2 linked regions of the Tamandua tetradactyla genome follow. The protein of the gene in region 2 purifies or fractionates together with the protein of the main gene of each other region. This does not show direct contact. Links are inferred from orthologs where the notes say so. Each region holds a gene or a part of one and is shown on either strand. Other genes may lie near its edges. The genes, in order: AFG2B and CAPN2.

Evidence for each region.
Region 1: the proteins of CAPN2 (region 2) and AFG2B purify together in Homo sapiens (co-immunoprecipitation; 3 studies listed by BioGRID and IntAct, with this or other methods). This does not show direct contact. The link is inferred for Tamandua tetradactyla from reciprocal best matches to the Homo sapiens genes CAPN2 and AFG2B.

What each region holds. Positions count from the first base shown.
Region 1 is NC_135340.1:59,649,808-59,665,995, reverse strand, and holds the start of AFG2B (ATPase family gene 2 protein homolog B), read right to left. Parts: upstream 9,033-16,188; 5' UTR 8,999-9,032; coding exon 7,904-8,998; intron 3,246-7,903; coding exon 3,060-3,245; intron 1-3,059. UniProt on the Homo sapiens protein: ATP-dependent chaperone part of the 55LCC heterohexameric ATPase complex which is chromatin-associated and promotes replisome proteostasis to maintain replication fork progression and genome stability.
Region 2 is NC_135328.1:137,671,057-137,687,915, forward strand, and holds the start of CAPN2 (calpain-2 catalytic subunit), read right to left. Parts: upstream 7,748-16,859; 5' UTR 7,593-7,747; coding exon 7,356-7,592; intron 2,888-7,355; coding exon 2,818-2,887; intron 1-2,817. UniProt on the Homo sapiens protein: Calcium-regulated non-lysosomal thiol-protease which catalyzes limited proteolysis of substrates involved in cytoskeletal remodeling and signal transduction. Proteolytically cleaves MYOC at 'Arg-226'.

The sequences.
Region 1 (16,188 bases), on a different chromosome or scaffold from region 2:
GGCTTTTAGGTTTTAAGTTGTGCATAGTAGAGCCTTCCTTGCTTTGTGCTTATGTTTTGGAGAATCCTTTTTGCAATTCCCTTGATCATTCTAGTGAAGCAAATTTTTTTGTTAAAGAGTTAAAAACTCCTTATATTTCTATTTGTGACATCTTTATTATATACACTGAACTATATGCCTACACACTAAATTCTAAAAATTTATTTTTTTCCACAAGTTCTCATTTTTAATAAGAACATTATTACATGGTTTTTAAAATTGCTTTTTTTTTTCTGGCTGGAAGTATCAGATCTTAGGTACTCGAATACTAATTAGTTTTTAGGTAATACCAACTAACTTTTATAAATCCTTTTTATAGTTTATGCTTACTTGTATATATACTATTTCATTTAATTCTTATAACAACCCTTTCAGGCAGATAAAATTCTTTCCTCTCTGTGTGTATGTTAAATCCTATTTCTAATCCTTTAGAAGGAACATCACTTCACAGGAAGTTTAGCAAACTTTACTGTATCCCTTGTCTGCCCTGGCACAGATAGCGGCAAAAATAGCCCCATGGCAACTTGGTAGTGAAAAGAAGAAAAAGATAGAGCTAATCCAGATCCCTCTGTACTTTCTTCCACACTTCCCCTGAGTTGTTTCTGAGCTCAGCCATCACCTGTGGTAACTACCCCTGGGTACTCCTAGGACAGCAGCAGCTGACTGTCCTCCTCTTTCCTAAGCCAGAGGTGCTGAAGAGTCAAACCTGGAACTTCAAAGCAGAGGGAATCCTAAATGTACATCTCCTTTGCTCATCTCCTGGTACTTATCCCCCCAGCCCCTCACCTTCACCTCACCCCCAAAAGACATATATTCTCACAAGTTTACACATGGAACCTGTCATTAAAACTTCACGCAGTTTTGGTTCTAAATCCAGAAGATGAGGACTTAAGAGGAGTTCAAGTTACTCCTTACCTTTAGTGTAAGAGCAGAAATAAAGTAAAAGGAAGAAGGGGATGAATTGTCTAGATAAAAATTTTTTTCAAAATTTAAGATGATAAATCATCCTTTCATAGTTTACACAAATTTAAGATTGGTTTTTAAAAATTACAAAATCAAAAAGCAATTTTAATGTTACAACTAAAATTAAAAACTTTGTCCCAGAATATTCAGCCTGCTGAAATTAATTTTTTTCCCTGAAGGGGTTTAAGGATTTATGATTACTTATATACAAAATGACCTGACTTTCGCAATCAGTAGTATTAAAATGATTATATTTAAGCCAATACTCTAAATATTTTTGAGAAAAGTAGTAATGAATTTAAGTCTTCAATGTTAAAGACAAATTTAAATAAAATTACAGGTGCCTGATCTTCTGAGTTAGAAACATTTTCCCTCCGCAAGATACTCATTAATAACAAAGGGAAAACATAGAAGTTTAACAAAAGAGAAACATTACAGATATCATCTTATCCAAGTGACCTATATATGTTTTTCCTTCCTTTCTCTGTCTCTGTCTCTCTCTTTCTTTCTAAAGTTTGATATGAAGGAAATTAGTGGGACAAATGGTGAAATTTAGATCAGGTTTATATAGAATATGCAGAAATATTGTATAAGTACTAATTTCTCATTTTGATAACTATACTACAGTTGTGTAAGAAAAATTCTGTTTTTAGGAAATATACACTTAAGTTTTCAGAGGCAAAAAGGTATCATGACTGTAGCATTATTCTCAATGTTCCAGAAAAAAATATATAAATATACACATAAAGAAACAATAACGCAAACATGGTAAAATGCTAACACTTGGAGAATTTGGGTTAAAGGGACAGACATATTCTTTGTACCATTTTTGCTTAAGTCTGAAATTGTTTCAAAACTTATAATTTTCAAAATTAAAAAAAAAGTTTGATTTTCTTGGGGCCACTGACTTTGCTGGCTGCTATGGAAACCGTTGGTTACAGCACGACGGAGTTACAATGAAAGCAGGGAAAAAATTTACTGGGTAACACTCAGTCTTTTCTCCCCGTCTATCATATATTATTTATATGTAGTTGAGATATAAAAATATATTGAAGAAATGACTGTGGAAGCAGTGGGGACAACCAAAGCAATAGGCTGAGCCCTCAATCTTGGGGTTTGTTCATATGAAGCTTAACCCCACAAAGGATAGGTCAAGCCTACTTAAAATTAGGCCTAAGAGTCACCCTCAAGAGAATCTTTGTTGCTCAGATGTGGCCTCTCTCTCCAGCCAACACAACAAGCAAACTCACCACCCTCCCCCCCTCTACGTGGGACATGACTCCCAGGGGTGTGGACCTTCCTGGCAACATGGGACAGAAATCCTAGAATGAGCTGAGACTCAGCATCAAGGGATTGAGAAAACGTTCTCGACCAAAAGTGGGGGAGGAGTGAAATGAGACAAAATAAAGTGTCAATGGCTGACAGATTGCAAACAGAGTTGAGAGGTTATCCTGGAGGTAATTCTGAAGCAATAAATAGATATCACCTTGTTAGTCAAGATGTAATGGAGAGGCTGGAGGGAAATGCCTGAAAATGTGGAGCTGTGTTCCAGTAGCCATGTTTCTTAAAGATGACTGTATAATGATATAGCTTTCACAATGTGACTGTGTGATTGTGAAAACCTTGTGTCTGATGCTCCGTTTATCTACCTTATCAACAGACGAGTAAAACAAATGAAATAAAAATAAATAATGGGGGACCAAATGTTAAAATAAATTTAGATTGAAATACTAGTGATCAATGAAAGGGAGGGGTAAGGGATATGGTATGTATGAATTTTTTTCTGTTGTCTTATTTCTTTTTCTGAATTGATGCAAATGTTCTAAGAAATGATCATGATGATGAATATGCAACTACATGATGATACTGTGAATTACGGATTATATATGTAGAATGGAATGATCACAAAAAAATAAAAAGAAAAAAGAAATGACTGTGGAAGCTATCAAAATTTCCAAGAAAAAGTACTTGCCCTTTTTTTCTAATCCTCAAATTAATCTGTTAAACGAACAAAAAGACCAAGGTAGGCAAAAGGTCATAAATCAATTATTTCTTACCTTATTGCAATGAAGCATGGCGTGCATGGCAGCCTCTCTACACAGTGCTGTCAGGTCTGCACCAACATAGCCAACTGTCATTTCTGCAAGGAGGCCCAAATCAACATGACTGCAGGTGGGCATCTTTGAGGTAATCACTTGCAGAATTTCCTTTCTTTGCTTAAGAGTAGGAGTGCCAATAACAACCTACATGAAAAGCAAAAACAGAAAAATTAAAATGGATACAGATTAAAATATTAGATTTTTTTAATCCTCACAAATGTGTGCAATAATTTAGTATCTAAGGATACCTTTGGTTCTGAATATACAAAAAATTAGGACTCTACGCATTAATTTTCCAAAGGACTAACACTGACTAAAAACATGCACAATGAAAACAGTATATATCATATAACAAATTTTTATTCTTTATGACACCCTACCATGTTCTAGGAGACAGAAATAGAACAGTAAATCACATAGTCTAGGTCTCTGACCAATAAGAACTTATTCAGAAGACAGGTACCAAATAATGCAAGGAAATCCACTTAAGTCTTATCAGGTGAGACTAAAAGTGTGCAATTGTTATCAGTCTGCTTAGCATCCTACCAAAAAGTTCAACTAACCAATGAATTTCAAACTATCAGAATTCAAGAATCATTTTAGGGCCCACACACTACTGAGCCTGAAAAGTCCACTGCCACCTACTTTGGGCACAGAACATCAGTCATGGATAAAAAAGAGCTGGTGCAGAAGGCCAAACTAGCTGAGGAGATTGAGTTATACGATGACAGGGCAGCCTGCGTGAAGTCTGTCACTGAGCAAGGAGCTGAATTATCCAATTAAGAGAGAAATCTTCTTTCATTTGCTTATAAAAATGTTGTAGGTGCTCGCAGGTCATCTTGAAAGGTCATCTCAGGTATTGAGCAAAAGACATCAAGTGCTGAGAAAAAACAGCATATGGTTCAAAAATAGAGAAAACTGAGACCAAGCTAAGTAAAATCTGCAATGATACACTGTCGTTTTTGCAAAAGTTCTTGATCCGCAATGCCTCACAAACAGAAAGCTAAGTTTTCTATTTAAAAATGAAAGGAGCCTATTACTGTTACTTGGCCAACTCTGCTGCTGATGGCAAGAAAGGGATGGCGGATCATTCACAAATATACCAAGAAGCATTTGAAATCAGCAAGAAGGAAATGCAACCAATGCATCCTATCAGATTGGGTCCTGTCCTTAACTATTCTGTGTTCTCTTAGGATATTATGAACTCCCTGGAGAAAGCCTGCTCTCTTGCAAAGACAGCTTTTGATGAAGCCATTGCTGAATTTGACATATTAAGAATTATACAAAGATAGTATGCTAATAATGTAATTACTGAGAGACAACATAACACAATGTAGACATAGGATACCCAAGGAGACAAAGCTGAAGTAGAAGGGAAAATGAACCGGCATTTCAACTTTTGTCTGTCTCATTTTAAAATTTACAGTTGACTGTCACCCTTGCTATCCCACAATTCTTTATAATTTATGACATATTTATGTTACTTCTACTTGAATTTCTGTATTTCCCATGTGGTTTTTACGTTTAATATTAGGAGAGTAGAGCCAGTTAACATTTAAAGAGTTATCTGTTTTCATCTTGAAGTGGCCAATATTGGGAAGTGGAATTGTTACACAAGTTATGTTAGGCATGGTACTTTTGGTACATTGCGGCTTCACAATGTCTGCCAATTGTTAAAACTGCCTACACATTGGAGGATAAAAAGGACAATTGGTTCCATCACAAGTATACCTACTGTGGGTACTTTCAAGTTTGGAGCACATTCAAAGCTGTGGTAGAAACAGACACCCTATCAATATTACATGTTGAACCATGTATATCTGTGGGCTCCACAATCTCAATGTGCATACCTTTGACTACAGCTGCAGGAAGCATTCCTTTAGAGAAAGTTGTGACCCAATTTACTCTGGAGAAGGGCAGAATCGGTTCACATTCCATTATTTGTAAAGTTACTTATTTGCTTTCATTTTTTTAAAAATGCAAACATTCCTATTTTGATCATTCTGTTCTACATATATAATAATTCACAATATCATTACATAGTTGCATATTTATCAGCATCATTTCTTGGAACATTTGCATCTATTCAGAAAAAGAAATAAAACGAAAACAGAAAAAAAATTTATACATACCATACCCCTTACCCCTCCCTCTTATTGATCACTAGCATTTCAAACTAAATTTATTTTAACATTTGTTCTCCCTATTATTTATTTTTATTCCATATGTTCTACTCGTCTGTTGATAAGGTAGATAAAAGGAGCATCAGACACAAGGTTTTCACAATCACACAGTCACATTGTGAAAGCTATATCATTATTCAATCATCCTCAAGAAACATGGCTACTGGAACACAGCTCTACATTTTCAGGCAGTTCCCTCCAGCCTCTCCATTACATCTTGAATAACAAGGTGATATCTGGTTAATGCGTAAGAATAACCTCCAGGATAATCTCTCAACTCTGTTTGGAGTCTCTCAGCCATTGACACTTTGTCTCATTTCACTTTTCCCCCTTTTGGTCAAGTACGTTTTCTCAATTCCTTGACGCTGAGTCTCAGCTCATTCTAGGATTTCTGTTTCACGTTGCCAGGAAGGTCCACACCCCTGGGAGTCATGTCCCACGCAGACAGGGGGAGGGTGGTGAGTTTGCTTGTTGTTTTGGCTGGAGAGAGAGGCCACATCTGAGCAACAAAAGAGGCTCTCTTGGGGGTGACTCTTAGGCCTAATTTTAAGTAGGCTTGACCTATCCTTTGTGGGGTTAAGTTTCATATGAACAAACCCCAAGACTGGGGGCTCAGCCTATAGCTTTGGTTGTCCACACTGCTTGTGAGACTATCAAGAATTCAACTTGGGGAAGTTGAATTTTTCTCTGTTTTCACCATTCCCCGAAGGGGACTTTGCGAATACTTTTCCACTCCCTGATCAAATCACTCTGGGATTCATCGGGGTACCACTCTAGACAAACCAACAAAATCTCATGTTCTACCCAAGGTTCTAAGTACTTAGGGTGTTCAATCAAGTTATCTACATAAGTTATATTAGGAAATGCACTAGTCAAAATATAAATTTTGTACCAAATAAACATTTTTAGCTTTAGTCTCACACATAAGTTGAAATTTTAAAATATTAACTACCATCTATTTTCAGCACTCTGAAGTAATGACATTCCTTTGTTCTTCCTCATGCGAAAACATTTTTAAAATTAGTACATTTAATCACTATCATTATGCAAATGTTCTAAGAAATGATGAATATGCAACTGTGATGATATTAAGAATTACTGATTGTACATGTAGAATGGAATGATATCTTAATGTTTTGTTTGTTAATTTCTTTAATTAATTTAAAAAAGTTAAAAAAAATAAAATAAAAATAATCACTATCATTATACACTCTAGGTATTCCTAGACTATATCATCTCAATTTTTATCGTCTTTCTTTCTGATTTCATTTATTATTTGCTATGCTCATTTTATTTGTATGAAATGTTTCAGGCAACCTAAGAACCGTACAAGTAATGATGCAGCAAAAATGAGTTGCTTTGACATCCATTACTTCATGTATATAAAGCAGAGCCATTAAAACCAAAAGCCCAAGTACTTAACTTTTTTAAGGTTTTTTGCTTTTGTGAATTTTTTTTTTTTTTTGATACTTGCCTAACATGCATGTGCTGTAAAAATAGTTACAGGGAAATACCTTGATGAGGACTAGCTTTGTTTAATATCTTACAAAATTTTCATGGACAACCCAAGCATAATCATTAAGAATTAAATGTATTAAGTTGATGTGTTTACTACAGCAAATCTCTCCTTAGCTGATGAGATTGTGTTTACCTCCCTTAAATCTTTTGTCATTGTCTGCCTTTAAATCCTTCTTCTATTCTCCAAATAATGATAGAGATAAGTTATACTTAAACCTCACCCTATAGACTATTTCTTCAGTATCTTGCAGAAAACATCAAACAAAAAAACAATTTTAAAAGAGCCGTACTTTTTCCTTTTAGAAGGTAAGCTCCTTAAGACCAGGGACAATGTTTTTGCATGTTTTACTGTGCCTGTTCACTGTAAATAAACAATAAATATTGATGATGGGAGGCAGTGAGTCAATGACAAAGGAGAGAAACTGAAATTCCAAATACTGTTTCGTTGAGGGGCTATTATGACCTCAGATTAAACTGAGAAATACTGGCCCTTTTGGAAAATTGTCCCAAAGATTACATTCAAATAAAAGTTCAATGGAGAAAGAAAGAATCAATTTAAGACCAAAGCTTATTAAAAGGTCAGCTTTGAATACTCAATTTCTCGACAACTCCAGAGCAACAGTGGGTACTTTCTCTGTGGTGAGACAAGAATTCCTTCTTGAGAAGGAATTAATAAATCCAAAAGACTTCATTTACTTCCCCACTGCCCTCCCCATTTTTATTTCAATATACTTATTACTTGAGACTATCCTTGTGCTTTAAATTCTCATTTCAATTCCATATGAGTTTAATATGCTCGTGGCAGACCTAGTTCCCTTAAGAATTAACATAATTGACTATAGCGCTCATCTCCAAGATCTCTACAACAAAAACCATGAGTATTTGTGAACTCTCCTTGCTTCCCAGAACAATATGAATCTGGGGGAAAACACGCCCTAGCTTACAGACGATATAGGCTCGGAAAACACGTCTCCTGCATTAAAAGCGCCCCGGTCCCACTTCAGTAACTTCCAAATCTAAGTGGGAAACGCCTCGAGACAGCCAACCAGGAACAGAGGCTAAAGTTCCAGGGACAAAGGGGTAGCCGGCGGGTCTGTTCACCTCTCGATCAAATCTCCCAGGTCTCCGCAGGGCTGGGTCTAGCGCGTCTGGCCGGCTCGTGGCTCCTACAACCACCACCTCTCGGTCCCCACTGATGCCGTCCAGCAGCGTCAACACCTGGGCTACCACGCGGTTCTCCGGAGCCCCGTAGGGGCCGCCCCGTCGGGGGCACAGGGCGTCCACCTCATCCAGAAAGAGGAGGCAGGGCCCGCAGCTGGCCAACTCCTGGGCGCGCTGGAAGACCCGTCGCACGTTCTCTTCTGTCTGCCCGGGCCGGGCGCCCTGAAGCGTTGGAGCGCTCACTGCCAGCAGCTCGGCGCCCGTTTCCCGGGCCACGGCCCGCACCAACTGGGTCTTGCCCACTCCAGGAGGGCCTGCCAGGAGCACCCCGCGAGGCACGTCTAGACCCAGGGCGGCCAGGGTGCGAGGGTAGCGGAGCGGCAGGCTAAGGAGCTCTCGGAGTGAGTCGGCCGCCTCGGACAGGCCTCCCAGGGGCACCTCCGGCCGCTGCTCGGATTCCGACGGCGGCGCCCTGCTGAGGACGACGCGGGTGCGAGGGGTGACCAGCCCGGCCGGATCCGGGCTGGGTGTCCCGCCGACAACGTGCAGGGCGGCCAAAGGACCGGGTGCGCCCGGCGGCACGGACACCACGTGGCCCCGTGAGACCGGTCGGTTCCTCAGCAGCTCCTGAGCGGCCTCCAGCACGTCGGCAGGACTCGCGGCGTCCGGCGTGCCAGTTCGGTCGCGCAACACCGGCCACACGGTGAGGCGCCGCAGGAGCGGGCAAGGCACCAGGCGGAGGCGGCTCAGACTTAAGGTTCCCAAGGTCCCCGACGCCCCCCCTGCCGCCCCGGGGCTCGCACACTGCAGGTCCAGCTGCACAAAGCCGTCCGCTCTGTCGCGTCGCGGCCAAACTGTACAGAGACAGGAGCCGCCGACTGGAAGCGAGATCTTCACCGCCGACCCTAAGCGTGCGCCCAAGGCACGGAGGGCTGCCGGGCCCAGGCGACAGCGCTGGGTGCCCCGATCCTTAGCTTCTAAAGGTAACAGCCGTAAAAGCGGCCCTTCTGGAAAGGAACCGGAGTCCGGAGCCATTGTGTGCGCAGGAGCAGAGGCCGAGGTTTAAAAAAAAAAAAAAAAAAAAAAGTCTGAATTCCACCCGGACTGGAAAAGCTGGCACACCCCGCTCCCCACCGGAATTAGGTGACGCGCATGCGCTAAGGGAGGCTGCTGAGTGGCGACGGGAAGGGCCAGTCGGAAAGTTAGATGGAGCTCCGGCCCTAGGTTTAAGGTTGTTGCGCTGTCCGCATTGATCAAACCGAGTCGCCCCTCCCAGAGTTTAGAGAGATGATCTTCGCTGCTGATGTTTACGAGGCAGCGTAAGCTTACCTTGATCAGCTCATTAAGCATGTACCTGGGCGGTTTGGGTGCATACTCTTTCCTTGGTCTAGCAAGAACTTCCACTTTTGGAGTGTCAGCTTACGGGCACAGTATTGTTGGGTGCTTTCATGCTAATATCTTCAGAGACTTGAGATAGCTGAGAATACAGACTTGACGCCTTCGATAATCAGGATCCCAACCTGTCTATGAGATTGACGCGCGGCCTTCCTCTAGAAAAGCGTCAGCATTGAAAAAGAGACACTTTGTGGCATTTTAAATCCCTTGGAGAGGGGAAAGAAGGAAAACTAGGACAGCGGTTATATTTGTGGCAGTCCAACACATTTTACTCTGATTCGAGATTCCCTTCTTTGAATGTTCTTTGACAAAAACAAAGGATAGGTAATCACAACCTCTTCTGTTCATGAGATAAGTGCTTACTTTCTATTTGGGGCATAGCAGTAGTAAGTCCTGTATCAGAGGCGAGGCCTATCTACGCCATTAAAACTACTGCCTGTTATTTTTCCATGTGCTTTTCATATTTCTTCCCTCCCCACAGGGAATTATTTTTTCATAATAATGGAATACATTTCCTATCCCTTCTATCTGTGCTCATCAAAAAGAACTGCAGATATCGAAGTCAAGAAAATATGCCTTGCTTTTATTCTATTCACATCTTTGTATGGTTTATGAGAAGATCAAAATTGAAGTTGCAAATAGAGTGCTTAACATCACTGGGATGTTTATTTTTACCTCCCTATCTATGCAAATAAGCTATTGCAGACTGTATAACAGTGCTCTCAATGGAAAGTATTGTCAGATTTGGTGGTCTTAAAATCAGTGCCTTTCCTGGTCTCATTCTGTCCAAACTTCAGGGCAGACGCTATGACATAACTTCTGGATTCCGCAATAATTTGATCAGTCTCTTCTGTACCTTTTCAAATCCAGTGCCGGAGCAACTTAAAGAAATCAGAAAGTAACAGCAGCAGGAAGAGGTCCTGAAATGGGTAAACCCACATTACTTCCTATTTTCATCCTTCTCTTAATCTTACTGTCTTCTGAAATAAGCCATTATTTTTACTCATTCCTGAAAGTGTCAGTGAAGTATACATCAAGTTTTCCTATACTGATGTCTGTACTTCTGCTCATGGAGGTCACTTTTATTTTAGGTTCCAGAAGCTCCGAGGATCTAGAAAAGGAGAGGAGACTTAATATGATAACTGTCCTAAATGTGTAAAAGGTTGTCATGTGAAAGAGTTGGTAGATTTTGTTTATATCTATAGTGCATAATTGACCAGGAGGTGAAAGTTTCATGGAGTAAACTTAAGAGACTTTGTCTTCATAGTTTGAGTATGGTCATGTGGAAGAGGTCCAAGATTTTCTTGTAAGATATAGTCAAAGAGGCATAATCAAAGCCAACTGATAAAAAAGGATGCAAATAAAGTTAAATAAGTCATAGCATTTTCTGCATTGCTTTAAAGCAGTTGAGAGTAGAGGCTGCAATTTTAGTGACATAATGATGAGGAAATTACTTGTTGTTTTGGTTGGTCTAGAGTTTGACTTTACATGAGGTCAAACTGGAATTTTCTGACCCTGTAGGACCCATGTCCCCAGGAAACATTTACTTCACCCTCTCCTTATAAGGCTCAGCCCTCATCTTAAGTTGCAAGCGGAAGCAATCAGGATTCCTGTTCCTGGCCCTTCAACTCTTACCCACTCACTCCCAGCAGAACTCTTATTATAACTGACTTTTCCAGTTAACCAGCGGAATTCATTCTGTTCCTTTTTGGTCAGACTATTTGCAACACTATTATTTCAACCATTTTAACATCCATAATTTTCATATCATTCAATGACATCATCTTCTCCATGTGGAAAATCGGGGTTATGTGGTTCTTATGGTTGTTTTTAATATAACCCCAAAGTTGGTAATTCTTTGAATTATAGAGTACCAATTAAAGCGTCAAAAGGTTGAACAGTAGAGGGAGTCCAGAACCAAATAAGCCTGAAGGGTACAAGGTTGTTGAGTTTGAAGTATGAGTTAGGATTAAGTGGCTTAGATTTTCCCAAGACTCATACCCTGGTATATGAAACAGTCATGTTGTCTCTATATACTGTTACTAATTTTAACATAATTTACTAATTTTAACATAATTTTGTATACATCAGACCAGAACTCAGTTTCCAAGTTAAAATTTAATTTTTTTAAATATCAAAATGAGACTTTCCATAAATGCAAAATTTAGTGGTAGATCAAAATCCAAATAAGCCAAGTTCATCTTGCTACACCCTAGAAACAGTTCTAGCTTTGAATTGTTTCAGAGTGCCCCGCTAAACATACTACCTTTTGTGAAATTTTTCCTCAAGAGATGCATTTAATAAATAGTTTGTTTTGATTTCAGTTGCTACGTTCAAGGTTACAGTCTGCCTAATATTAGATTAACAGTGAGTTTTCTTTTTAACAATATTTTTAGAATGCAAAAGAAATAATTGGAACTTATTTCTCTTTTTAGAATAATAATTATACAATATTTTGGTACTTTCAGCATCAATAATATTATCTACAAAATATTATTTTTCAGAATATGAAATACATACTAATTTTGAAAACTCTAAAGTAAATGCTTGGTTGAGCCAGTAGCATGAGCCACCTATAGATTAGTGAATGCCAATATTTCTTGTGTTTCCAGTTTATGTTGTATGCAATCCTAATATATTTGAGTATTAGCAATGATTATGAGCTGTAACAGATATAGTTATTCATTTAACCACACTTGAAAATGCATAATTTGTAAATTTTCATTTCAAAATCTCCATGTAGATATAGCAAGTGACTTATTTCCACAGACACCTAATATGCCAAACAAGTTTTGTCATTTTAAATTATGTAATGAAAGCCTTCCCCATATATTTAACAACATCCCCATATAGGATATTGTTAAAATTGTTCTTTAAAAATTTCAATTTTTAGTGGCAGAGGCTCATGTATGCAGGCTACAATTATTCTTTAAAAGATACAGACGCAGGGTAAGGGGTGGGGGTGGGGGTGTGATTAGAACCAAGAGAAACTTTTTTTGGACTATGCCCCCATTCTGGCAATTGTTCACAGAACACCATTCCAAAACGCCATTCTTCAGATTTTCAGGATATTGTTTGCTTCATTCATTATTTTTTGAAAGTTAAATCTTGAAGATAATTTTTCCCCATGATGTTAGTTCAAACTGTTCAACTAATAAAAATATAAAATCCATAAATTTATTCAACAGATATTTATTGCACATCTACATTGTGCTAATTACTGTACCTGAGGCTAAATATTTGGTGGTGAAAACAAAAAACAAAAACATATCTTTGCCTTCTCAAAGTTTATGGTCTAGTGGGGAACTCAGACTTTAAAGGAATAAATATGTGACTAAACCAGATAATTAGATGAAAGAAAGGAAATAAACAGAAAAAGACTACTTTAGATGGGGAAGTCAGGAAGGCTTCTCTGAAAAAGCAACATTTAAGCTGAGGCTAAAGGATGCTTAGCAAGCAAAGCAGAAGACTGGGGGTCAGGGGTTTCATATAGAGGGCTAGAAGAGTGTATCAGGCACCAGAAAAACCTGTGCTAATGCTCTGAAGTTGACATATGTTTTCTGTGTTTAAGATATTAAAAGAGGACAGTTTTGTCTTTACCATACTTTTGGCGCTTACTTTCTAATTTTTTTTTTCTAATTGTGTTATTCTGAGTTAGTAAATTGTTTACATTTGGGAGCTAACTCAAAAAGTATATATATCTGTGGTATACTTAAGAATTTAATAGTATGCTGGCATGTAGTTGGTACTCAATAAATACTTGTTGAATTGAGTTTTTTATTGATTTTAGGGACTACAGTCTGGTGATTCATACTGTGTGTGTATTTATATCTTTTTCTACCCTGATTTACTAGATACTGAATAGAACTCAAGGAAGTGTCCCTACTCCTGACTAAGACCAGCCCTTCCTGCCATTTCTATCATTGAACCTTCCCTCTTTTGCACACTTTTTTTTTTGCACACTTAATTTTGACTAGATAAAGCATTTTAAGAGTTTGTTACAATTCAGGATTGCCTCCATAATTATTGTTAACATTCAAATGCTGTATTTTAGGGTTGATTATAATATGTAATTGGAAATCCATGTGCTATAGGCTTACCTAAAAACATCCATCCCCCCCTTTTCTATTCCTGCTATCAGTTAGGAATACTTACCAGTTTTCATGGATTATTGTAGTAGCCTCCAAACTAAACTCCATCCATTTAGCCACTATATTAATCCAGCCAGAAAACTATTATACTTTGATCAGTTTGGGTATTATATCTGAGGTCTATTAGAACTGAGAAATTTAGTCTACCCTAACGAATCCTAGAGCTCTCAAACACTCAGACTTGTCTAAGAATTGACCTAATATTGTCTGCATATGATCTAATCTTTGTGACTAAACCAAAAAAAAAGGCCAGCCTACAGAAATTGGGAAAGCACCATCTATGGTGATTTGAAGCAGTCTGTACCCCAGAAAACCATGTTCTTAAATTTAGTCCATTCCTGTGGATGTAAACATATTGTAAGTAGTACCTGTTGATCAGACTGCTTCAGTTAATTGTGGCCCACATGATTCAGGATGGAACTTAATCCTATTACTGGAATCCTTTATAAATGGAATGAATACAGAAAGAGAACATCACAGAAGCAAGAAGCTGAAAGCAATGAAACCTGGAAAAGAAGGCAGAGACCAGCAGATGCCGCCATGAACCTTGCCATGTGGCTGAGGACCAAGGATCACTGGTAGCCAATCTTCAGGAAGAAAGCATCACTTTGATGATATCTTGATATGGACATTTTCTTGCTTCAAAACTGTAAGCTAATAAATTCCTACTGTTCAAGGCAAACCACTTCATGGAATTTGCTTTAAGCAGCCTAAGAATCTAAAACATGCCAAAAAAAAAAAAAAGCCAGCTACAGGAATTGGGAAAACAACATCTAAAGATGGTTTATTCATAGTGATTTCACAGGTGACTTCATCAAAATTTTCCTCCTAGTGCTTTGTTATACTCCTTCTAAGAATGGAATGAAATCTTTAATTTCTAATTTCTAAGGCATAAAGATAGGCAGGTGTTCTAATTTGCAAGCTGCTGGAATGCAATATACCAGAAACGGAACAGCTTTTAAGAAGGGGAATTTAATAAGTTGCTGGTTTACAGTTCTAAGGCCGAGAAAATGTCCCAATTAAAAAAAGTCTATAGAAGTGTCCAATCAAAGGCTTCCAGGAAAAGATACCTTGGTTCAAGAAGGCCGATGAAGTTCAGGGTTTCTCTCTCAAGTGAGAAGGCACATGGCGAACACAGTCAGGGCTTCTCTCTCAGCTCGAAGGGCATATGGCGGACATAGCATCATCTACTAACTTTCTCTCCTGGCTTTCAGTTTCATGAAGCTCCCCGGGAGGAGTTTTCCTTCTTCATCTCCAAAGGTCGCTGGCTGGTGGACTCTCTGCTTCATGGTGCTGTAGCATTCTCTGCTATCTCTCATTCTCCAAAATATTTCCTCTTTTATAGGATTCCAATAAACCAATCAAGACCCACCCAAATGGGTGGAGACATGTCGTCCCCTAATCCAGTTTAAGAACCACTCTTGACTAAATCCCATCATCCAGGGAGATGATCTGATTATAGTTTCAAACATACAGTATTGAATAGAGATTATTCTACCTTTATGAAATGATATTTTGATTAAAACATGGCTTTTGTAGGGGGCATACTTCCTTTCAAACCAGCACAGCAGGGGATCAGAAAATATCTTTGCTGCCCCATTTTGTCTTATGAATTGGAAGCATCTTGTTGGAAAAATCCAAGCTCTGAGAGAGAAAGAGTAGAGATCTTGTGACCTTTTGGCTTAAAAATGGAGAGCTGACTGCACAAAAGAAACTGATCTACTAGGTTCCAAAACAGCAAACTGAAAACAAAGGGAGGAAGGTACACATTCTGAATCCTCTCAGATAGAGAAGTTTCTTTAGAATAATCACATTGTCCTTAGTACTGAATGGTTCATTTGTCTAGTGAAATGAAGGTCACTGCTTCCCCACACACACACACAAAATGTGTGGGAGTGGCCATGAATGCCTAGGCATTTTTCAGAATTTTCTTGGGGTTATTTCTGTGTTGCCCTTCTACTCCCAGACCTCCAAACTCTTCTGACTTCGAGTAAACTCAGTGTGTTTGAGAACCATGATACAGTGCCTGACATGCTCTAGTGCTGGTGGATTGGAATTTTGGCCAAAAACACGCCCAACCAGAATTAATTCATTTTTCCTTTGGTATTTTTCTTCAGGTAATCTGCACTCCTTTTACTAGTTGGCTTCATTCTGCCTTGAATGAGTTAGTTATTTTCCTATCTGTGTTTGCTCTGTTCCCTCATGATTTTACACATTAATGCTATGTCTTAGTCATCTTTCACTTTACCGTCTCCTAATGTGGGCTAGCATTGTTTCTTTCTTTTTTTTTTTTAACATGGGCAGGCACTGGGAATCGAACCCAGGTCCTCTGGCATGGCAGGCGAGCATTCTTGCCTGCTGAGCCACTGTGGCCCGCCCAACTAACATTGTTCTGAACCAGTGGAGACAAAAAGAGATACCAATTTAATGATTCAGCATTCATATTCATTTGTTAAATTCTATCTTCTCAGTATAACTCCACCATCATCTTTGATCTTTCCTCCCCTCTCTTTAGGAGTGTTTGGGCTATGGCAATTCTAAATTTTTCTTATCAGAAGGGTCTGTCACTAATATGGAGTAGGGAGATGGGAAGTTTCTTTTGAAAAGTAAAATGCTCTGTTGGCATATATTGTAAGGCTCTCCTAAACAATAATAGTTTATATATCAGCAGGCACAGTT
Region 2 (16,859 bases):
TAAAACATGCCTGCTGCTCTGGAGAGAGAGAGAATTTTACTAACAAAGCAGAAAGTTATTTCAAAGTGCCTTCCATGAGACTGTACTGGTAGGTAGTTGTAAGCATTTTGTTTTATCCATTATCATGTTTGTAAAGAAATCCTTTTGGAACACTATCGTACTGATTCTTGGCATCTGTTAGCTCTAAAAGTGCTGATTTTAAAATTACGTTTACAGAAATATCCATTTTGAATCCAGCTTGCTTATCTTTGTCAAAACACATACCGAAAATTCTTGGTGTAGAAAACTTAACATGCACTTTAATATAGGGTGTACTTCTCTCCAATACCTACAAGGCTGAATTTCTGTTAAGAGTTTCAAAGAAATGGTCAGAAGGCAGGATTTTAAATCAGATTAGGATTCATTCCTTTGGCAATTTCTACCTGTGTGGATTTATGCGCAACCTCCCCTCTCTGAGCCTCAGTTTTCTTATCTGCATAGTGGGGTGAAAATATTTACTTCAGAACTGAGTTGATTACAGGAGATAATGGGATGAAAAATGCTCCAAGTTATGTACTGTATACAAGCATCAGGCTCTGTTACTATTCCATTTTAGTGATAAAAGACGCTTTAAGACAAAATCCAGCCTCAGGAATGAGGAACAGCTTTGAGTGGTTGAATGCCACATCTCAGGGATCTTCGTGGTCACTTCATTCACCCTCCTTCCTCCTCAGTTTTCGAAGAAACTGAGTGCTGGGAAGTTAAAAGACTTGCCCAAAGTCTCCCGACAAAGCTGACCAACAAAGCTGAGCCTGAGCTTGCATCTCTGGCTCCATGGGCTGGAGGCACTGCCACACCCCTGTCTCTGAAACTTCTGGTCCTCTTAGGACTTGGTGATGGTCACAGTCGGGGTGAGAGTTCAGTAAGCGGCATTTCCAAGTCTGTAATCTAACCAGGATCCTCCGATATAAAAAGGCCAAGAGAACAAAAAAGGCCGACATGGTATAAAACACCTTAAAAATTACAGGCCCGTTACTGAGAAACTTTCAAAAGGCTTACATTTAACCCTATTTTATTTGATTTGGTGCACAAGGAGGGAAATCCGCCCCAGGAACGTAAGCTTTGCTTGTTTCCTCTCCGGATGGCCTGGTAGTATTTAAACAAGACTTACATCAGGCATTCATTACTTGCAATTTGGCTCTGAAGATGTTGTTAAGCTCTGAAGTAGATATTTAGTACAGGTGTGGTGTTTACTACAGGTGTGGCAGTTGCTACATTTGTCTCTGGAGTCTCTAAAGCCCTCCAGGATTGGGTGACGTTTCCATCAACTTCCAGCCCCATTATCTTCCCTCTTCTCTAAACAATGGATTTCCACAGAGCACCCACCTTAGACACCTGGGGACGCCTGGCCTTCTTTCTTTTGGAGGGAGAGGGGGAAATGGGAGACAGAAGGTGGAAATGGGGAGCCATGCTTTCTGCAGGTGAGAACGTGCTCTGGCATCTCAGGAATCTGGGCACTGAACTTAAATCAGCTTGGTTCTGCTGCCCAGTCCTGCGTCATGGTCTCCCTCAGAGGAATTTCCTACCGGGCTCCCATGTACCTGTCCTAATGATTCACATAGCTGCCTGACATCCGTTCGGGGGTGAGAACTTTTCCAGGCCTCCTTCTCAGGAGTCTAGCTCAGGAGCTAAGCACACAAGCCCTGGACCCGCCTGAATGCATCTGCACACCAGGTCCCTACTTCAGGGGACCTTAAGCAAGTTACTAGGACCCCGGAATCTTCATCTATAAAATGGGAATTATCAAAAAACCTTAGCGTTTTCTCAAGTACAGTTTAATTTCCAGCACATAGTAAATGTTCAATCGATATTAGTTGTTATTATGAGTATTAGAATCTCCGCTAGGTAAGTGAGAAAAGGGACTACAAGATGAACTCGTTTGGGGAGCTAGCTGAAACTGGTGGCAGGAAACAAGTTTTTCGTTTACCAGAACAAATAATCTGCTCAAGCAATTACAGACCCATATTTATCATCAACAAAAATAAATCAAGGGTGGATTCTATGAGAATTTTAAATAATAGTCCCAGCCCCCACTGGGACTTCTTTGGTAGCTTTCATACTAAAGTTGGAGGACTATGGGTTCAAATCCACAGACAGCACTATATCCAGAAAAACACATCAGAACTCACCTTCAGAGAGCAAAGTTGTAGACCTTCACACTCAGCTACTCCAGTTAGCTTTACTTAAACATTCCAACTGCCTTTACAAGGAAATACACCGCTTCCTACTGTTGTGAAACCATGGTGAGCTTGTCTTGCAAACACTGAAGACTCTGTGGTAGTTGGACTTCCTCTCAGCAGTGAGCATTAGGGTCTTCTCTTCATTCACACTGAGTCACCTTCCCCTGTCCCTGAACCTCAGAGCACTGGTATCTTAAACCTGTTACTGGCCTGGAGGTGTCCTCCCACCCGGCCCTCGGCCCAGACCCTGACCATTTCACAGGCCACCTGGTGACACTGGCTCCAGAGGATACAGAGACCAATTGGTGGCTGAAATCAGGAGCTCCTCAATTCTTCCGGGGGAGCATCTTTGTAACCCCAGGAACTAGCCCAGTGCTGGGGCCCAGGAGTCCCTCAATCCTGTACATATGCATTGGTGTGCTTGGCATGGGGTTGGGGGTAGAACTGCTACCTTTGGGGACAAGAAATTCCAGGAGCTCAGAAAGCTGGAAATGGAAATCACTAAGCTTCTTCTGAAAGGGAGAGAAGCCACCGTCACTCCCTTCACCCCGGTCTTGTAGACCCAACCCCACAACTTGCTCTGGATGTCACCACTTACCTAAGGCTCCTTGGCAGATGTCTGTACGGGTGGCTCCTTCAACAATGAACTGGGGGTCATCGCAGATCTCCTGGGAACGAGACCAACAGACCTATTAGTCCACCGTGCATGCACATTTGCATTTTGGATGCCTCAGTTCCCCAGAGGTACTTTGGACCGCTTCTCCCCCTTTCCCTCCCCCCTGGGAAATGTCTCCCTCAAGGGAAGCCCCTGTTCTGCTGCCATGGCAGAACCCTGCTCCGGGGGTCCCAATGGGTGTGGGTGGTGGACGCATCTGACTGAGAAGAGCAGTAACCGACCACACACATTCCCACTGCCTAGAGCCTACATCCACCTGCTATTTCCTGGTGGCTGTGGCAGCATCAAGCCCAGTCTCCTCTGACTCTAAGGCCCTCTATAACCTGGAGCCACCCTGTCTGCCATGCTTGTACCCGCTCCTCTGTCCTTGAATGCAAGTATTTTTTTTCTCAATTTTACCAAAGTGTTTAAAAACATGGTAAAATATATATAATATAAAATTTGCCATTTTCACCATTTTTAAGAGTGCACTTTAGTGACAATAACATTTACAATGTTGTGCTACCACCACCACTGTGCATTATAGAAACTTTTTTATCACCCCTAACTGAAACTCTACCTATAAAGCAGTAACTCCCCATTCCTCCATCCTCCCAGCTCCTGGTAACCTCTAATTGACCTTCTATCTTCATGGATTAGCTTATTCTAGATATCTCATAAAAGTGAATTCATCAATATTTGTCCTTTTGTGTCTGGCTTATTTCACTGGCTATGATGTTTTCTGAGTTCATTCAGTTGTACACGGATCAGAACTTCATTTCCTTTTAAAGCTAGATAATATTCTATTGTATGTATATACCATGCTGTATTCATCCATTCATCCATTCATCGATGGTCACGATGTTTTAAACTTGGCCTGTTGTGAATAACGCTGCAGCTGTTTTGCTTGCATGGAACTCCTCCCTTTCCTGCCTTGTTCTCTCCTTTCTCTTATCTTCCCACATTTCAAGGCTCACTCTCACCTCCTCCATGAAGCCTTCCTTCGTAATCTATCCCCACACCCCTCCCCTTGATTCTGATACTCACAGTATTTGTACTCTGCAGTTTAGCACTTAATGGCAGATTGTCTTTTGGTGTTCATGGGTATTACTCTTGTCTTCCTAACACGTACACATTTCTTGAGGGCATGGAAGTGTATCATTAGGAGCCTTCTGAATTCTTCCATGATTTATGGGATGTCCCAATAATACTTGGATCATCCATATGTTAGGTAGTGCTTAGAGATGCTTCTGAAAAGTGACCCTTTTGCACAGTAATACAGCACTGAATTAAACATGGCTGTAGCAATCAGGGGAAGGGTTGAAGGCTTGGGCTTTGGATTCACATATTGTGCTTGATGCTTTATCTAATGCAATTCTTCCAAGAACACAAGATGGGTATTATCCCCATTTTACAGATGAGGGAATGGGTTCAAAGAGGTAAAGAGGTTTTTCTGAAGTTACACAACTCATTATGATAGATGGTGCTTGGTACTGGGATTTGAATTCACCGGTCTTACTCTGATGACACACTCTTCACATCTGCACAGCCACTAATTGATTAGTAACAGGACTCCAAGGGCACTAAAACCCCAGGGACGACCGTACCACAAGTGGCTGGATGAAACCAACCTTGAACACTTCTGGCTCAGACTCTTTCAGTAGCTCTCTGAGTGTGTTTCCTGATTCATAAGAGCTCCACCCCAAAGCCACAGAGGAAGTTGGGGGCATGAATCTGGGTTGTTCTTGGCTTGGACAACCTTGGTTTGTACAAGCTGCTCTTCCATCTCATGCCTGTTTGAGCATCATATGCGGGTGCCTCGGTCCCAATTTCTTGGTTGAGATCTGCTGGATGCAGGCCCTGTCCAAGCTGGCTTGGATTGTAGAGGCTCTTCGTGAGCCACACTCAGTTGCAGAGCAAATGCCTTTAATGCCTCTGCATTGTCTCTATCCCTGCTCAGGTCAATCTGTTTGGGGAATGCCAGGGGCAATGAGAATGCTTTTCTGCGAGCCAAAAGAAACCTGCATTGCCTGAGGCCTGCCAACTGAGCACTTATCTGGCTGCCTAGTGCTAGGAGCCTCTTTATTATGGACACTCATACTGATAATCCTCAATGTGCCAAGCACTTCCCCTGAAGGATTTTTCCATCATGTTTCAGAAACTTTCTCATGCCTCTGGCAGTCTCTCCAAAAAAGTCAAATTTCAGAGTGGTGTTTAGAGATGATCCAGAAAGCCAAAACTTGTGCACAGCATTAGGGCATTGCATTAAACACTGGCTGTAACAGTCAGGGGAAAGAGGTCGGGGGCTTGGGCTTTGGATTCAAACTCACTTCAGATGGGCTCTATGATGCTAGGTAAGAAACTTAGCTTTTTATGCTTTAGTTTCCTCATCTGTAGAATGGAGATGGTGACAAGTATATCTACTGCAGAGGTTTTCAGGGTTATGAAATAAATATGTAAATATGCCTTGGTAAGCACTCTATAAATGTTACCTCCCACCAGCATTATTTTGAAAAAATTTGATGATGATAATCCCTGAGCTTGGAGGCAGGAGATGTTGGTTTGAGGCTGAATTCAACCAGTGCAAAATAAGTGAGTTGTGAATACTTCAGAGGCTTGGTTCCCTCAGGGGGAAGAATGGGGAATAGAAATACCTGCCCTTGCTCTTACCCGACTGTCTGTAGCTGGGAGCTTCTGAGGTGACATCCTCCAATCATGACAGTTCTTTCCTTACTATGCTTCCTGCACCAGCCCTAGGAGCTCACCGTGACTTCAGCCATTTTCTGCTTTATTCCTTTTCCCATTCCTGGAGGCCCTCTCTTGCCAATATTGTAAAATCTTTTGTCTTCTAGCCCTCTGGCCCTGCCCACAGGAGAACCAACCTCTGTTTGAGGAAGAGCAGTCCCTATTCACGCCAAGGCTGACCAGACAGACCCCTGTCCTCCAAGGACCCTATACTCCTATTTCCTCAGGGATCCTGTCTCATGATTACCTCCTTTCTTCTTTATCTTTAATTCCTTCTTCTCTGGTGGCTCAATATAGAGCACATATAAGGTGCTTTCATGTGAAGAAAATACCAGCCTCTCCCACCCTAGGCCCCGCTCTACCCATTCCTGTCTCTCTTCCCTTGTTCCCAGTACCTTTCTCTGGAGTAGATTTACTCCTCCGCCTAATGCAAGCTGGCTTCTACTGCCATCTTTCCCTTGAAATTGCTCTGCTAAAGTCTTGGTAATGGACACATCCAGCTGGAAGTTTTCTTTTTTCTTGCCTGACCACAGTGGAGTCTGACAGTGGTAGGACAGACAGAAGCAGTGAGGGCAACCGTAAAGTTGAGGGCTCAAAACACGCACAGGTTAGAAACTTGGTACCACCATGTATACCTGAAGCTTCAACGCCTTCAACTGCCTCATGAGAATAATAACAGCTACACCTCCCCCTCAGCTGTGTAGTACAGTCTGCCATACTCTAAGTAGCTGCCCTGAAATGAAGAGGTCCCAATCCATAACGTATTACAACCCTCAAGATCTCTATATCCTCATTCAGAAGTCCCACAAGCATCTCCAACTGTTGGGTGACTTGTCTGAATATAACAGTGGGGTGACCTGGGAGGCTCAGGGGAGTAGAAGCAGGGCAGGGATGCTTATTCCTTTAGGAATCTAAAGGTTGGCTTTCCCAGGAAGCCTCATTTAGGGATGGTGGAGGTAGCTTGGTGACATGTCCTATAGGAGAGGGCAGGAGCTAGCAGGGGTTTCTTGGGAAACTAAATGGACATCTAGATTAAGAGGCTGGACATTCAGGTGTAAGGGCTGGAAAAGCTCTCCAGGTGAGGTTTCTGGGGCACTGGAAGGATGATAAACTTGCTCTTTGCAGCATCTCCCAAGTCTTTTGTTAATCACCAATTTAAACATTACAGGCCGTTTTTGCTAAATCCCATTTAGAAAAGTGAACATAAAACTCTGAGTGATACATCTAACCACTTCAACTGTGTGACACAATACTTAGTCACAAAACGAAGTGGGCTCTGGACTTTTCCTGCTCCTGAAGAAGAGATAAGCGGAGGTAGAGACTGACTTTGTCAGAGACTGCCTCTTGCGAACCCCCCAACCCACTTCCCAACATCTTCCCACCAGGGTCCAATAAAACTTATCTCCCCCCTTGTGTCAAAGTTCAAAGGTGGCTCCCCTAGCAGACCTGCAATGGGATTTGAGGACAGAGACCCACCTCGACACGACCCGTCCTGGGTGTTGGGAGTGGAAGAGGGAGCCAAACCCCTCTGAGGACCGCAGAGCGCCGGAGATCCAGGCTACCCTCGGGGCCCAGGGTAACGGGATGGAGGCAGCCCGGGGCGAGTCAGCCGGAAGGCTCACTCTGGTTTGCGACTTTCCCCGGTGCTGCTTTCCGTCCACACCGCGGGGTGCTCCTGGCACCGGGGGGCCCGGGCCCCCTCCCCGCCCTGCACCCGGCCGCGCCCGCGCTCCTACCGTGGGCCTCTTCCACACGATGCCCTGCGTCTTGCTGGAGTAGGGTCCCAGCTCCTTGAAGCCCAGGGAAGACGCGATGGCCGGGAAGGAGGGGTCCTGAAAGAGCGCGCCGGCTTCCAGGCACTCGTCCCGCAGTGCCTCGTAGTCCTGATTGAGGTACTTGATGGCTTTCTCGTGGGAGCCCAGCCCCTCGGCCGCCTCCCGGTCCTTCACCAGTTTGGCTGCGATTCCCGCCATGGCGCTGGTCCCCGGCCCGAGAAGGAGCGAGGGTGGGGGCGTCTGGCTCCCTGCGCGGGTCAGGGGCGCTGACGAGGCCTGGGCGCGCTGCAACGGGACTGCGGGAGCGGCAGCTGCGGAAGATGATTCACCCAGAAGGGGAAACGCTCCCCGCCCGGCCTGGGTGTGGCCTCGGCCGCTCCCGGCCTGCTCGGCGGCGCGGCCCGGGACGCGGCTCCCCCCGGGGCCTGGGGAGGTCCGGCCGGGGACCGCGGCACGCGAGGCCTGTGCTGCCACCTGCCGGCCGCTCCCGGGGCGGCGCGAGGGGCGCGGCGGGGCTGGGCTACTGCGGCTCAATCCAAGACCCGGCTGCCAACTTCCTACTTTCCGGGGAGGAAGGCTGGGAGAAACCCGAGGCTGGGATAATTGTTAACTATCCTGGAAACACCTTATGAGTCAGTAGGAAATTAGGGAGCTAGGATTAGACTAGCTACCATTAATTGGGCTCTGCTTTGTGCCAGACACCGTACTACTGGCTCTAGGCTCTATATATGTTACCTTATTTAATCCTCCCAACACCTCTTTGAAGAAGGTACTGTACTGTCCTCATTTTACAGATGAGAAAACTGAGGATCAGAGAGGTTAAGTGAACGGGGCACGACTAGAAGTCGCGATGCTACACTGTTACTGATCAGCTATAATATCACAAGTGGAGTTGCCATATTTGGCAAATAAAAATACAGGATGCCTAGCTAAATTTGAATTTCAGATAAACAAGGAATACTTTTGTGTATTAAGAATATTGTCCTCCACGTGACTTCCCAGCTGAAAGAGGTGTTCCAGACCAATCCACCTTTCTTGAGTGTAGGTAACCTCTTGTTGGCGCCTTACTTGGACATTTTCACTTCTTTAGAACTGTAAACTTGTAACTTATTAAATTCCCCCTTTATATATATATGTCCTAAATATTGCACAGAAAATACTTATACTAAAAATAATAATAATAATAAAGACCACTCCTTGTTTACCTGAAATTCAAATTTAACCAAGGGTGCTTGTTTTTCATTTTGAACTGTAATCAAGGAGGTTTCATGGTCCTCTAACTCTGGGGCATCTAGCTATGCAATGGCAGGCCAGCTGGGACGGCCTTAGGAGGCTCAGGGTTAGGAAAGAGTTCCAAAGCTAGCAACTTGATTCCTTCATTGATTAGGCATCTTTCAGCGTCTTATTACATGCCAGGCTCTGTTGGAGGTGGGGGTGGAGGTGAGTCTGTGGTTAAAACATAGATGTTGAAGCCAGCCCACCTGGGTTTGAATCCCAACTCTACTATTTAGTAGCTGTGTGTTGTTCTTGGGCAAGTTAGCTAACATTTCGGTGGCTCGGTTTCCCCATTTCTAAAATGAGAACAATAATAGTTGGAGGAATTCATTGAGCATTGAGTTGCTCCTTGGTAGGACACTTAGAACAGTGCCCATGCTAGTTGTTTCTTTAACCGCTCTGTGGGAGAGACAGCATGCGATTCTGTCAGCTCACAGAGAGAAATGGGTTATGTGCTAAAGATGTATGGATTGGAAAAGGTTGCTTCTTCTGGATATAGGGAAGAATTTGTGTTTCAATGGAAAATTGCATTGTCTAGAACAATGGTTCTAACTGGGGGTAATTTTTGCCTCCCACCCCTACCCCAAGGGACATTTGACAATGTCTGGAGACATTTTTTGATTGTCATAGCTTCATGGCTTGAGGGGGTTGGGGTTACTACTGCTCTTTATTGGGTACAAGTCAGAGAAGCTGCTAAACATTTTACACTGTCCAGGACAGTTCCCCATAGCAAAGAATTATTTGGTCCAAAATATCAATAATGCTGATGTTGAGAAACTCTGGTTTAGAACATCTCCTTCCATATTATCTGATTCTATCCTTTCATTGTTTTTTAATTATCTTAAATTCTTAGTTGCAGATAAGTGTAGCAATGTAAAATAATTCTCCTTTTAAGACATGCAAATGAATTCTGCCCAATTATGGAACTACCCTCCCTTTTGTGGGAAAAAGTACACTCATGTATATTTGAACATCCATTTCAATATTCCTTTGCTTCATATATGTTTTTTATTTGTTTTCTTGTATTTTTTTTGTTTTCATATGTTTTTAATAGGCTTTATTTTTTAGAGTAGTTTTAGGTTTACAGAAAATTTAAGTTTAGCAGAAAGTATGGAGAGTTCCCATATGCCTTCTTGCTTTCCATACTTTGTCTTATCATCAACATCTTGCATTAGTGTAGTATATTTGTTATAACTGATGAACCAATATTGATACATTATTATTAACTAAGGTCCGTTAGTCCATTACATTAGGTTTGCCTCATATAGTTCCATGGGTTTTGACAAGTACATGTCATATATCTGCCTTTACAGTATCATACAGAATGTTTTCACTACCCTAAAATGCACCTGTGCTCCACCTACTCATCTTTCTTATCCTTTCCCTGAACACTTGGCAACTACAGATATTTTTACTGTCTTTATAGCTTTGCATTTTCCAGAATGTCATATAGTTGGACTGTACTGTATGTAGCCTTTTTCAGATGGGATTCTTTCACTTAGCAATAAACATTTAAATTTCCTCCACATCTTTTTGTGGATTGATAGCTCATTTGTTTTTATTGCTAAATAATATTCTATTGTATGGATATATCACACTTTGATTATCCATTAACCTTTGGAAGGGCATCTTGATTGCGTCCTATTTTTGGCAATTATGAGTAAAGCTGCTTTTAAACATCCATGTGCAGGTTTTTGTGTGGATATAAGTTTTCAACTCATTTGGATAAATATCTATGAGTGCAATTACTGGGTCATATGGTAAGTTTTTTAAGAAACTGCCTAACTCTCTTCCAAAGTGGCTGTACCATTTTGCATTCACAGCGGCAATGAATGAGAGTTCCTGTTGCTTCATATCTTTGTCAACATTTGGTGTTGTCAGTGTTTAGAATTTTAGTAATTCTAATAGGTGTGTAGTGTCATGTCATTGTTGTTTTAATTTTAATTCCCTAATGACGTGATATTGAACATCTTTTCAAATGCTCATTTTCCACTGTATGTTTTTTTGGTGAGGTGTCTGTTCAAATGTTTTACCCATTTTTAAGTGAGTTGTTTGTTTTCTTATTGTTGAGTTTCGCAAGTTCTTTGTATATTTAAAAAAAATTTTTTATTAATTAAAAAAATTACAAGAAAGAAACACATTCCTAATATATGCTCATTCCATTCTACATGTATAATCAGTAATTCACAATATCATCACATAGTTGCATATTCATCATCATGGTTATTTCTTAGAACATTTGCATCAATTCAGAAAAAGATATAAAAGGACAACAGAAAAATAAAATGAAGACAGAAAAAAAAAATTTTACATACCATACCCCTTACCCCTCCCTTTCATTGATCACTAGCATTTCAAACTGAACTTATTTTAACATTTGTTCCCCCTATTATTTATTTTTATTCCATATGTTCTACTCATCTGTTGACAAGGTAGATAAAAGGAGCATCAGATACAGGGTTTTCACAATCACACAGTCACATTGTGAAAGCTATATCATTATACAATTATTATCAAGAAACATGGCTACTGGAACACAGCTCTACATTTTCAGGCAGTTCCCTCCAGCCTCTCCATTACATCTTGGATAACAAGGTGATATCTACTTAAAATGCGTAAGAATAACATCCAGGATAACCTCTCGACTCTGTTTGGAATCTCTCAGCCATTGACAATTTGTCTCATTTCACTCCTCCCCGTTTTGGTCAAGAGGATTTTCTCAGTCTGTTGATGCTGGGTCTCAGCTCATTCTAGGGTTTTTCTCAATCCCTTGATGCTGAGTCCCAGCTCATTCTCGTATTTCTGTCCCACGTTGCCAGGAAGGTCCACCCCTGGTAGTCATGTCCCACCTATCAGGGGTAGGGTGGTGAGTTTGCTTGTTGTGTTGGCTGGAGAGGCCACATCTGAGCAACAAAAGAGGTTCTCTTGAGGGTGACTCTTAGGCCTAATTTTAAGTAGGCTTGACCTATCCCCTGTGGGGTTAAGTTTCATATGAACAAACCCCAAGACTGGGGGCTCAGCCTATAGCTTTGGTTGTCCACACTGCTTGTGAGAATATCAAGAATTCAACTTGGAGAGGTTGAATTTTCCCCCGTTCTCACCATTCTCCGAAGGGGACTTTGCAAATACTTTTCCACTCACTGATCAAATCACTCTAGGATTCATCTTGGTATCACTCTGGACAAACCAACATCTCATATCCTACCCAAGGTTCCATGTACTTAGGTTGTTCAACCAACTATCTACATAAGTTTTATTAGGAGATGAACTAATCAAAATATAAATTTTGCACCAAATAAACATTTTTTGCTTTAGTCTCACACATAAGTTGAAATTTTAAAATATTAATTACCATCTATTTTCAGCACCCTGCAGTAATGACATTCCTTTGTTCTTCCTCATACAAAAACATTTTTAAAATTTGTACATTTAGTCACTATCATTATACACTCTAGGCATTCCCAGATTATACCACCTCAGTCTATCATCTATCTTTCTTTGTGATTTCATTTATGCCTCAGCCCTCCTCCCTCTATCATTCTCACATTCAGCTTCATTCAGTGTTTTAACATAATTGCATTACAGTTAGGTAATATCGTGCTGTCCATTTCTGAGTTTTTATATTCAGTCCTGTTGCACAATCTGTATCCCTTCAGCTCCAATTACCCAATATCTTACCCTATTTCTATCTCCTCATGGTCTCTGTTACCAACAAAATATTCCAAGTTTATTCACTAATGTCAGTTCATATCAGTGAGACCATACAGTATTTGACCTTTCATTTTTGGCTAATCACACTCAGCATAATGTCCTTAAGGTCCATCCATATTGTTACGTAATTCGTAACTTTACTCTGTCTTACAGCTGCATAATATTCCATCGTATGTATATGCCACAATTTGTTTAGCCACCCATCTGTTGATGGACATTTTGGCTGTTTCCATCTCTTGGTAATTGTTAATAGTGCTGCTATAAACATTGGTGTGTAAATGTCCATTTGTGTCCTTGGCCTCGTGTCCTTTGAGTAGAGACAGCATATAGATGGGTCCTGTTTTGTAATCCATTCTGCCAGGCTTTTGATTGGAGAGTTTAATCCATTAACATTCAGTGTTATTACTGCATGGGTAGTACTTTCTTCTACTATTTTGCCTTCTGGATTTTATATGTCATATCTAATTTTCCTTCTTTTTACCTTTATTCATAGTCTTCCTTTCTATACTCTTCTCCACACCTCTCTCTTATGTCTTTTCATATCTGTCTCTAGTGTTCCCCTTAGTATTTCTTGCAGAGCTGGTCTCTTGGTCACAAATTCTCTCAGTGATTTTTTGTCTGAAAATGTTTTAATTTCTCCCTCATTTTTGAAGGACAGTTTTGCTGGATATAGAATTCTTTGTTGGCAGTTTTTCTCTTTTAATAATTTAAATATATCATCCCACTGTCTTCTCGCCTCCATGGTTTCTGCTGAGAGAGTTACACATAATCTTATTGGGTTTCCCTTGCATGTGATGGATTGCTTTTCTCTTGCTGCTTTCAAGATTCTCTCTTTCTCTTTGACGTCTGACATTCTGATTAGTAAATGTCTTGGAGTATGTCTATTTGGATCTATTCTCTTTGGGGTACCCTGCACTTCTTGGATCTGTAATTTTAAGTCTTTCATAAGAGTTCGGAAATTTTCAGTGATAATTTCCTCCATTAGTTTTTCTCCTCCTTTTCCCTTCTCTTCTCCTTCCGGGACACCCACAACATGTATATTTGTGCGCTTCATATTATTCAATTCCCTGAGTCCCTGCTCATATTTTTCCATTCTTTTCCCTATAGTTTCTGTTTCTTTTTGGATTTCAGATGTTCCATCCTCCAGTTCACTAATCCTAACCTCTGTCTCTTGAAATCTACCATTGTAGGTTTCCATTGTTTTTTTCATCTCTTCTACCATGCCTTTCATTCCCATAAGTTCTGTGATTTGTTTTTTCAGACTTTCGATTTCTTCTTTTTATTCATTTCTTGCCTTCTTTATATCCTCCCTCAATTCATTGATTTGGTTTTTGATGAGGTTTTCCGTGTCTGTTCATATATTCTGAATTAAATGTTTCAGCTCCTGTATCTCATTTGAATTGTTGGTTTGTTTCTTTGACTGGGCCATATCTTCCATTTTCCTAGTGTGATTTGTTATTTTTTGCTGGCATCTAGGCATTTAATTGCCTTAGTTAGTTTATTCTGGAGATTGCTTTCACTTCTTTTATCTAGGGTTTTCTTGTTGGGTGAGTTTGTTGTCTGTCTGTTCTTTGACATTCAGTTCTGCTTCATCTGGACCTCTAGCATAAGTTTTGTTTAACAGAGGAGAATTTTTCAGTTCTTGTTTTCTTGTTTCTTGCCCTGCTTGTATGGTGCCTTCCCCCCACACACACTTAGGAGGGTCTACTTAGGTGTTATAGACCCCAGCCAGATTTTCCCAGACCAAACTGGCCTCCTATCAGGAGGAAAGAGTCACCTGCATCAGTTTTCTCTGAGGGTGAGACCCAGCAGGTTGAAAGACCTTCCTGTGAAGTCTCTGGGCTCTGTTTTTCTTATCCTGCCCAGTATGTGGCACTTGTCTGCCTGCAGGTCCCACCAGCATAAGATGATGCGGCACCTTTAACTTTGGCAGACTCTCCCTGCTGGAGGTGTGGTGGAAACAGAGGAGAGGTTGTAGGCTGGTTTTAATGGCTTCAAATTACCAAGCCCTGGGGTCTGAATTCCTTGAGGGAGGGATTCCTTGGGCTTCACCCCTCCCCTGCGGAAGGCAAAGGCTCCAGACAAGGCCTCAAATGAGCTTGTTTCTGCCTATGCCTGGGGCAGATGCAGCCTGAGGAGCCCTGCCTCTATATCCAAAGGCAGTCAAGCCTTTGTAGAAACACAGCCACAAAAACCTGTTTCCTTCTTTTTTTTCCTTTTTTTGTCAGCCCTGCCCCCTTGGCGCTGGGGCTAAAATGAGCAACCTCAGCTTTGACCAGGTTCACCTGAGCTGGGGGCCTATTTTTAGCTGTCAGAATTTGTTACTTAATTCCACAATTGATGTTTGGTTGGGCTCAGCCCCTGCTGCTGGTAAAGTCTCTTTCCTTTCCCCTCTCGGAAGCAGTCTGTGGGGGAGGGGCGCCGGCTGCCATGCACAGCTTGGGAAGCTCACGGTTCTGGGGGGGGCTTGCAGCCAGTCCAGCTAGTCCATACTGGGGTACGCTGTGTGTCTGGTCACTGACGTGGCCCCAGGAGCTTTCTGTACTGTTTCTGGTTATTTGGTAGTTGTTCTAGGGGACGAACTAAAATGCGCACATTGTTTAGCCACCATCTTGGCCCGGAAGTCAGATATAGAATTCTGTATATTTTTTTTACAGAAGTCCTTTATCAGATATATATTCTACAAATATTTTCTCCCAGTCTCTAGCTTCTCTTTTCTTTGTGTGTACTTTGCAGAGCAGAAGTTTCAAATTTTAATGAAGTCCAACATCAATTTTTTTCTTGCTTTTGGTGTGTATCTAAAAAAAAAAAAATCATTCCCAAACTGAAAGCCATCTAGATTTTCTCTTATGTTATCTTATAGAAGTTTTATGGTTTCACATTTTACATTAGCTCTATGAATGATTTTGAGTTAACTTCTGTGAGAGGTGTAAGGTCTGGGTCTAGATTTTTTTTTTTTTTTTGCATATAGATGTTCAGTTTTCTAACAACTTTGCTGAAAAGACTATCTCCATTGAATTGCCTTTGCTCTTTTGTCACAGTGCAGTTGACTATATTTGTATTTGTGTCAGTTTATTTCTGGGCTTTCCAGTTTGGTCGTTAATCTATTTGGCTATTCTTTGCCAATGCCACACTGTTTTGATCATTGTAGCTTTATAGTAAGTTTTGAAGCTAGTCTCTGACTTTGTTCTTCTTCAGTACTGTGTTGGATATTCTGGGTCTTTTGCCTTTCCATATAAACTTTAGAATCATTTTGTTGAAATTCACAAAATAACTTGCTGGGATGCTGATTGGGATTTCATTGAAGCTATAAATCAATTCAGGAAGACTTAGCATCTTCATAATATTGACTTTTCCTATCCATGAACATGGAATGTCTCCCCATTTATTTAGATCTTTGACTTTTTCCTTAAGGTTTTGTAGTTTTCCTCATATAGATCTTGTACATATTTGGTTAGATTTATACTTAAGAATTTCTTCTTTTTGTTTCTTTTTTTGGCATTGTGTTTTTTATTTAATTTCAAATTCCAATTTTTCATTGCTAGTATACAGGAAAGCAATTGGCTTTTATATATTAACCTGTTATTCTTGCTATAATCATTTACTAGTTCCATGCTCCGTATAATTTTTTTATATATATTTAACATGACATTTTCTTTATTATAGATCTTAGTTAGCTGTAACTGTTCCATTCAGAAATTAGAAAACATCTTTTCATTAAGTTGGGGTTTCCTCTACTTCTCCCAGAGCAGTAGGTCGAAACTATGATATACCATAAAATATATATATGTATACCAGAAAAGGCCATGTTTGTTTAATCTGTTCCTGTGAGTTAGACATATTATAGGTGGGATCTTTGATTAGGTTATTTCTAATTGAGATGTGACCCGCCCCATTCAGGATGGGTCTTCATCCTCTTGCTGGAGTCTTTTATAAGAGGATAAAGTATCTCTCTTAGAGAAGCTAAAAGAGATGAAATTAAGAGAAGCACACAGAGAAGAGCACCAGAGAAGTTGAGAAACGGAGCCACTGAAGCCAGAAGCTGAACCACTGGAGCAATGAAATGGGGAGAAAAGGTAAAGCAGACACTGCCATGTGCCTTAGTATGTGACAGAGGAGCCCCCGATGCTGGCAGCCTGTCTTCAGAGTCCAGGTATCCTCCTGTTGATGCTGTGAGTTGGACATTTCCATGGCCTAAGAACTGTAAATTGTAAGTTAATAAATCCCCATTGTTAAAAGCCAACCCATTTCTGGTATATGGTGTTTCAACAGCTTTACCAAACCAAAAACCCAGCTTAATTTATAAAATTTATCATAAAACCTTTTCATTTGTAATGTTCAAAACATAACTTTTTTGCACAGTAAAAATATTCTATGTATTTTGCCATCAAAATCTGTCATTTGAGAAATTGTCTATGTATTTAATTAAAAACTCTTATAACTAATATATACATATTTTCAAAGTTAAGATAATTGATT